Sus scrofa: one gene and its partner. The protein of the gene in region 1 purifies or fractionates together with the protein of each later gene. This does not show direct contact. Links are inferred from orthologs where the notes say so. Each region holds a gene or a part of one and is shown in the gene's direction. Other genes may lie near its edges.

Evidence for each region.
Region 2: the proteins of HSP90AB1 (region 1) and IKBKB purify together in Homo sapiens (affinity purification with western blotting; 3 studies listed by BioGRID and IntAct, with this or other methods). This does not show direct contact. The link is inferred for Sus scrofa from reciprocal best matches to the Homo sapiens genes HSP90AB1 and IKBKB.

Annotation. Positions count from the first base shown.
Region 1 is NC_010449.5:39,246,751-39,251,104, forward strand, and holds the end of HSP90AB1 (heat shock protein HSP 90-beta), read left to right. Parts: coding exon 1-230; intron 231-904; coding exon 905-1,070; intron 1,071-1,522; coding exon 1,523-1,713; intron 1,714-1,820; coding exon 1,821-1,968; intron 1,969-2,095; coding exon 2,096-2,364; intron 2,365-2,902; coding exon 2,903-3,236; intron 3,237-3,351; coding exon 3,352-3,461; 3' UTR 3,462-3,729; downstream 3,730-4,354. UniProt on the Homo sapiens protein: Molecular chaperone that promotes the maturation, structural maintenance and proper regulation of specific target proteins involved for instance in cell cycle control and signal transduction. Undergoes a functional cycle linked to its ATPase activity.
Region 2 is NC_010459.5:11,328,266-11,331,913, forward strand, and holds part of IKBKB (inhibitor of nuclear factor kappa-B kinase subunit beta), read left to right. Parts: intron 1-994; coding exon 995-1,102; intron 1,103-2,387; coding exon 2,388-2,517; intron 2,518-2,963; coding exon 2,964-3,158; intron 3,159-3,648.

The DNA of each region.
Region 1 (4,354 bases):
ATGATGAGGAGAAGCCCAAGATTGAAGATGTGGGCTCAGATGAGGAGGATGATAGTGGCAAAGATAAGAAAAAGAAGACAAAAAAGATCAAGGAGAAGTATATTGATCAGGAAGAACTGAACAAGACCAAGCCCATCTGGACCAGGAACCCTGATGACATCACCCAGGAGGAATATGGAGAGTTCTACAAAAGCCTGACCAATGACTGGGAAGATCACCTGGCAGTCAAGGTAAGAAGCCTTGTTTGTTGGCGCAATAGGAAGAGTTGGTAATGGGCAAGTGGCACTTGCCCAACTGATTGGGAACTGGGAATGCCATGAGTTCACCTACTGATGGACCCTTCCAGGGCAGGGGAATGACATCTCCAGGGACTTCACTGTGTCTCTGGCAGCTTTGCCCATCTAGCATTCTGAATTGGCTATTTCCTCGTTAACACAAGGATTATGTACAGGTTGCACTATGTTGGATTCATTTAGGGCATTATTAGGGCTTCTCAACAGCTACCATAGAGTCTAGTCTATTCCTGGTGCTTAAGGGGGAAGGTCTTTTTTTCCAAATAGTTTTTTTTTTTTTTAAATAACTTAATTTTTTTGTTTTTTAAGGGCCGCACCCACGGCATATGGAGGTTCCCAGCCTAGGAGTCTAATCAGAGCTACAGCTGCCAGCCTACACCACAGCAACCCTAGATCCAAGCCACATCTGTGACCTATACCACAGCTCATGGCAACCCTCGGTCCTCGACCCACTGAGCAAGGCCAGGGATTGAACATGCGACCTTAGGGTTTCCTCATCAAATTCATTTCCGCTGCGCCACGACGGGAACTCCCCAAATAGTTTAATTTGGTGTTGGGACAAAAGCCACTCTTAAAATACACAGTTGGCTTATCTTGGATTTCTCTCACAGCACTTCTCTGTAGAAGGTCAGTTGGAATTCAGAGCATTGCTGTTCATCCCCCGTCGGGCTCCTTTTGACCTCTTTGAGAACAAAAAGAAAAAGAACAACATCAAACTTTACGTTCGCCGTGTGTTCATCATGGACAGCTGCGATGAGCTGATACCAGAGTACCTCAGTGAGTACCTTCTCTGCCTAATGTAGTTGGTCTCAGCTTTCTCAAAGGAACTGAAGCCTTGATTTTTTTTTTTTTTTTTTTTTTTTTTTTTCTTCTGGGCCACACCTGCAGGATATGGAGAGGTTCCCAGGCTAGGGGTCAAATCAGAGCTATAACTGCTAGCCCACACCACAGCCATAGTAACGCAGGGTCCGAGCTGAGTCTGCGACCTACACCACAGCTTACAGTAACGCCAGATCCTTAACCAACTGAGCGAGGCCAGCGATTGAACCTGCAACCTCATGGTTCCTAGTCAGATTCATTTCCACTGCGCCATGATGGGGAACTCTGATGAAGCCTTTGTTCTGAAGCTAAGGGTCCTCTGCCGTGTAACTGGTGCAGCTGGATGGCGGTGTATACTTTTTTGTTTTTGTAGGGGGGGTGTCTAACTGAGCATCCATGTTTGATTTCAGACTTCATCCGCGGTGTGGTTGACTCTGAAGACCTTCCCCTGAACATCTCCCGAGAAATGCTCCAGCAGAGCAAGATTTTGAAGGTCATTCGTAAAAACATTGTTAAGAAGTGCCTGGAGCTCTTCTCTGAGCTGGCAGAAGACAAGGAGAACTACAAGAAATTCTACGAGGCTTTCTCAAAAAATCTAAAGGTAAGCAGACAGCAAATGCTTGCTTTTTTAATGATGAAGATGGCTGTTTTTCATTCATGTAGGGGATAATTATTTTCTAGTAAGACTTTCCCTTTCCACCCTTAAAGCTTGGAATCCATGAGGACTCCACTAATCGGCGGCGCCTTTCTGAGCTGCTGCGCTACCATACCTCCCAGTCTGGCGATGAGATGACTTCTCTCTCAGAGTACGTCTCACGCATGAAGGAGACCCAGAAGTCCATCTACTATATCACTGGTGAGTGGAACGTAGGGCCTGACCACAAAGCCTCTCAGGTGTTAGGAGAAGGGGAGGACACAGGGATACCTGGGAGCTGGCTGGCTGGGGCATTCTGATCCTTGAGTCACATTTAATAATCCTATAGGTGAGAGCAAGGAGCAGGTTGCCAACTCTGCGTTTGTGGAGCGTGTGCGGAAGCGGGGTTTCGAGGTGGTGTACATGACAGAGCCCATCGACGAGTACTGTGTGCAACAGCTCAAGGAGTTTGATGGGAAGAGCCTGGTCTCAGTTACCAAGGAGGGCCTGGAGCTGCCTGAGGATGAGGAGGAGAAGAAAAAGATGGAGGAGAGCAAGGCCAAGTTTGAGAACCTCTGCAAACTCATGAAAGAGATCTTGGATAAGAAAGTAGAGAAGGTAAGCAGTGAACGGAGTAGTAAGTGCTTTCAGGGCTTTGCCCTCAGTTTCTGGTTGCTACACGATTAGTGGTTTGGCGCAGCCTTATTTGTTTAGAGCCATCCTATTTTATTCTCTTAACTGGGCAGATTTTTTTTTTCCCTCTCTTCAGGCCCCGCCCACAGCATACAAAAGTTCCCAGGCTAGGGGTCAAATAAGAGCTACAGCTGCTGGCCTATGCCACAGCAACTTTGGATCCAAGCCATGTCTGCGACCTACACCGCAGCTCACAGCAACACCAGATCCTTTCACCCACTGAGCAAGGCCAGGGTTTGAACCCAAATCCTCATGGACACCAGTCGAGTTTGTTCCCGCTGGTCCACAATGGGAACTTTTATTTTTGTTTTTTGTGTTCTTTTACTGGGAAAGTTTGTCATTGCTCTAAGACTTGGCAAAGATGAGGCTTTATTTTCCCAAGGATAGAACTTCAAAATACCGTTTTTTGCCTTGAGGTAGTTTTGATTTAAGGTAAACCAAAGATTTTTGTGGTTGTCCACAGGTGACCATCTCCAACAGGCTTGTGTCTTCACCCTGTTGCATTGTGACCAGCACCTATGGCTGGACAGCCAACATGGAGCGCATCATGAAAGCTCAGGCACTTCGGGACAACTCGACCATGGGCTACATGATGGCCAAAAAGCACCTGGAGATCAACCCTGACCACCCCATTGTGGAGACGCTGCGACAGAAGGCAGAGGCGGACAAGAATGACAAGGCTGTCAAGGACCTAGTGGTGCTGCTGTTTGAAACGGCACTGCTGTCTTCTGGCTTCTCGCTGGAAGATCCCCAGACCCATTCCAACCGCATCTACCGCATGATCAAGCTTGGCCTGGGTAAGTACCCTTGCGCAGTAGGTGTGGCGAGGAGTTGGAGAATTAGCCTGGTGGACACAGATTTGATGCTTTTGGGGCCAGATCTCAAGTGGCATTCTTTCTTCCCTCTTTCTAGGCATTGATGAGGACGAAGTGACAGCAGAGGAGCCCAGTGCTGCTGTTCCTGATGAGATCCCCCCGCTCGAGGGTGATGAGGATGCATCTCGCATGGAAGAAGTAGATTAGGAGTTGCTACCTGCAAACTTTGTTCCCTCTGTATAGTGTCCCCATTGGCTCCCCTGGCAGCAGCCCCCAGTGGCCCTAGCCCACCTGGTCTCCTCTGCTGATGTCTAGTGGTTTTATTTGTTTTTCTGTCTAAGGCAGGCTACAGGGGCCGCAAGCCCTAATAACCCTTCCCACATTTGACACTGGGTTTGGGTGTCGTGTACTGTGCTCGTTTATTTTGTTCTGAGATTAAAGTATGCAAAATAAAGAAGATGCAGTTTTATACAGTTCTGCGCTCTCGTAAGTATATACAACACTGCTTTTGGAGTTTCCCTGGCTTCTCACTCCCTAGTCTTGAGTACAGTCACATGGTACATGGGGGACATGGTTACTGCTAACTATGTGACAAGCGGTAGTTTTGAGCTGCCATCTGTACAACACTCAGTCCCCTTCCTAAAGGATATATAGATGGCCTTCCACTCACAACAATTTTTTGACTTTACTATGGTAGCATGAAAGCACACATGCAGTAGAAATTTTTTTTTTAAGGCTGCACCCCACAGCATGTGGAGGTTCCCAGGCTAGGGGGTCTAATCAGAGCTACACACATTGGCCTTTGCCACAGCCACCCCAGATCCATTGAGCGAGGCCAGGGATTGAGTCTGCAACCTCATGGTTCTTAGTCAGATTCTTTTCCACTGCACCATGATGGGAACTCAGGAGAAACTACTTTTCAGCTTTGATCTTTTCCTGGGCTGACAGTATGGCTAGCTACGAGAGGCGCAAGGGTAAGGTAGCTTGTGAGTTTTCAGGTGGGCTAGCCTAAGCTGTGATGTTTGGTGTATTTAAACACATTTTCAATTTCTGATGGGTTTATTAGACATAACCCCACCTTAAGTGGAAGGTCAACCGAA
Region 2 (3,648 bases), on another chromosome or scaffold:
CAAATTTATGTCATCACCCTTTTCACTGGGAAGATTTGAGACCAGTTTAAAACTTTTCTCTCTCATCCATGAGGATGCAGGTTCGATCCCTGACCTTGCTCAGTGGGTTAAGGAACCGGTGTTGCCATGAGCTGTGGTGTAGGTCACAGATGTGGCTCCAATCCTGGGTTGCTGCGGCTGTGGTGTAGGCCGGCAGCTACAGCTCCAATTCGACCCCTAGCCTGGAACCTTCATGTGCCATGGATGCAGCCCTAAAAAGCAAAAAAAACCTTTTCTCCTTTAAATGCTATTTCAGATGTGTCGAAAGATTCTCTAAGTTGGGAAGCATTATCATTCATTCACTGTCAGATGTAAAACACTTGGCCACGTGCTTTTAGAGGGAAGTGCGTGCATATTTCATGGGGAGGGGATCCATGTGCAGTTACCTTGGTGTGCAAGTCCTGATTTTATCCTCTACCAAAACATGAGTGTTCGGTATTAGATGAAAAGTAGAACAATGAGGGGTTCCCACTGTGGCTCAGTGGGTTAACCCCCCAGTATCCACATGGATGTGGGTTCAATCCCTGCCCTTTGCTCTGTGGGTTAAGGATCCAATGTTACTTGTAAGCTATGGAGTAGTTCGCAGACGGAGCTTGGGTCTGGCATTGCTATGGCTGTCACGTAGACTGGCAGCTGCAGCTCTGATTTGACCCCTAGCCTGGAACTTCCATGTGCTGCTATGTGGCCCTAAAAACAACAACAACAACAACAACAAAAAGTAGAAGAATACAAAGGAATGAGCCTGCCCTGAATGGGGTCAGGAGTCAGCCATACAACCCTGCTGGGCAGTACTAATGACCTTAGACTCTCAGAGAAGTGTCCTGAGAGCACTGGCCGGCACCCTATGGGGTTAAATAGCAGCCAGGGTGGAGGTTACCAGCATAGGGAGCTGTTGGCCATCAAGGGATGTGGGATCCTTATGAGTGGCGTAAGAGACGAGGCCCCACATCTGCAGGCACTCCAAAGTCCGGCAGAAGAGCGAGATGGACATCGTGGTGAGCGAGGACCTGAATGGCACCGTGAAGTTCTCCAGCTCATTACCCTACCCCAACAACCTCAACAGGTGAGGCCCCGGACGTGTGTCAGCATTGGCCGTGTCTTGGGAGCACTGGGACGTAGGTTCAATCCCCAGCCCGGCACGGTGGGTTCGGGATCTGGTGATGCCACAGCTGCAGCTTAGGTCACAACTGCATCTGGGATCTGATCCCTGGCCCGGGAACTTCCATATGCTGCAGGCAGCCAAAAAATAAGAGAAAACAAAATAAAACAAAGAAGAGGTGTGGGATTTCTGAGGGCTGATAGCTTTTACGTCAGGGTGTCCTGCTGTGGCATGAACCTAACTGGGTCCCATCTCAGTCTTAACCTTGGAACGCATTCCAACCCCTCGCCACAATTAGAAATCGTCTTCCTCACTCACTTGCACAACGGTTTGTGCCTCTCACGCCCCTCACTGGCATCTGCCTTGCATTACACTGGGTTTTGCAGAGAGTTTATCTCCTGGTCCACTGGAAGGGCAGGAGAGTCACTGTATTTCTCTCTGCACTCCCCGTGCAGCCAAATGCTGGCTTACCATCAGCAGATAAACCTGTGCAGTGTGAACAGCATTGCAGTCTGGCCTTAGAGCCACAATATGAGCAGTCAGGTAATCGTATCAGAACCCGGTAACAGCACAAAAGAAAGCTGCCAGGCAGCTGCATGCAATTGAGAGGCACGGATAAGAATTACCATGAGTGGAGTTCCCGCTGTGGCTCAGTGGGTTCAGAATCTAATGTTGCCACAGCAGCAGCAGCAGCATAGACTGCATCTGCTGGATCATATTCAGTCCATGGTCTGGGAACGTCCATACTCCATGGGTACAGCCAGGAAGAAAAAAAAGAATGACTATGAGTATTGAGGGGGTGGGGAGAGAGGTACTATGTGGACTAGCTACATGGGATGAATGGATGGGCTGGAACTTTCTGGAAGGATCTGGAAGAATGTGCAGGACAGGGATGGGTGAAAAGGAAGGAAGCTGAGGGAAGAACGCTTGAGGGGGCCTGCAGAGGGGAGGTGGCAGTGTTGGCCTCTGGAGGGCCTTCATGGGGGGCAGCAAGGGCCACTGTGGGTGCTGAGGGGGTCGGGAAGGATCAAGAACTTGTCGTGTGGACCCACCAGGTGCTTTCCAAGGGGTGACTGACTAGGAATCCAGCAGCGTGGGGTCCAGATGGTGGGTGGAGTCTGCCTGAGGTGGGGTGAGCATGTGAAATATTAGTTCATCCTCAGGGGTCAGTGCAACAGGGACACCCGTGTGAGGCGGGTGCACTTTTCAGTTCCCACGCACCTCCCCAACACCCATGCCCTCTTCTCAGTGTCCTGGCCCAGCGGCTGGAGAAGTGGCTGCAGCTGATGCTGATGTGGCACCCCCGGCAGAGGGGCACCGATCCCACGTACGGGCCCAATGGCTGCTTCAAGGCCCTGGATGACATCTTAACCTTGAAGGTGAGCCAGCACCAAGCTAGCTGGGCCGTGGGGCCCCTCCCCAACCGGGGAATGCAGCCTCCTGGTGGGGCGGGGTGGGGGGCATCTGTACGTGAGGAAGATGCTAGGACCCCATGCTGACCAACCTGGGCTGTGAGGTCATAGCTGAGGACAGACTTGACTATAAAGACCCAGCACTGGGGAGCTCCCTGTGGCCTCGTGGTTAGGATTCAGCACTTTCACCACTGCGGCCTGGGTTCAGTCCCTGGCTGGGAACCGAGATCCCACATTGAGCCACTGCACACTTACCCTCCCCCCCCAAAAAAAAAAACGACCCAGCACTGAACCCCTCCCCAGGCCAGGCCTTTGTGTGCTGGGGGCTCAGGGAGGAGCAGGGATCCAGGCCAGCAGGTGGGCGTCTCTGTCAAGTAGTTTTTTTTTCCAGTAACGTCTGGGTTGTGTTGCAGCTGGTTCATATCTTGAACATGGTCACAGGCACCATTCATACCTACCCCGTGACCGAGGACGAGAGCCTGCAGAGCTTGAAGGCCCGGATCCGGCAGGACACAGGCATCCTCGAGGAGGCCCAGGAGCTGCTGCAGGAGGCGGGTCTGGCGCTGATCCCCGACAAGCCCGCGGCTCAGTGCATCTCCGATGGCAAGGTGAGCCCTGGCCCCTTCAGGGCGGGCGGGCCCTTACCCACACCGGGCAAGTACCTCCCTGTTCTGAGGGTGGAATGTGAGATCCTGTTGGCTTAATAGGAGACATGGATCACTCCACGCGTCACCTGTTCCTTCTAGACCGAGAGAGTGCCTCTCTTTTACCTTTGCTGCCAAAGCTGTGTTTCATTCTTCCGGCTCGGCCAAAAGGGTTTTTGGCACACCTCTCATGTGCAGAACTGTGGCAACAGCCACAGCCGTGCCAGACATGGTCTCTGCCCCCAAAGAGCTGACGAGTTAATGTGGGAGAGCCAGTCACGGGATAGTAAAGAGATAGCGAAGGTCTGACTTGTGCAGTCAGAGAACGAAACAGAAGGGAGTCAGTGGTGGATGAGGTGTGCACTCGGGGCTGCGTGTAAAGGAGCAGCGGAAGGGGGTTGAGTCCGAAGTCAGTAAGAAGGCTTTGTGGGTGCCGCGCTGGCTGAGGGCGATG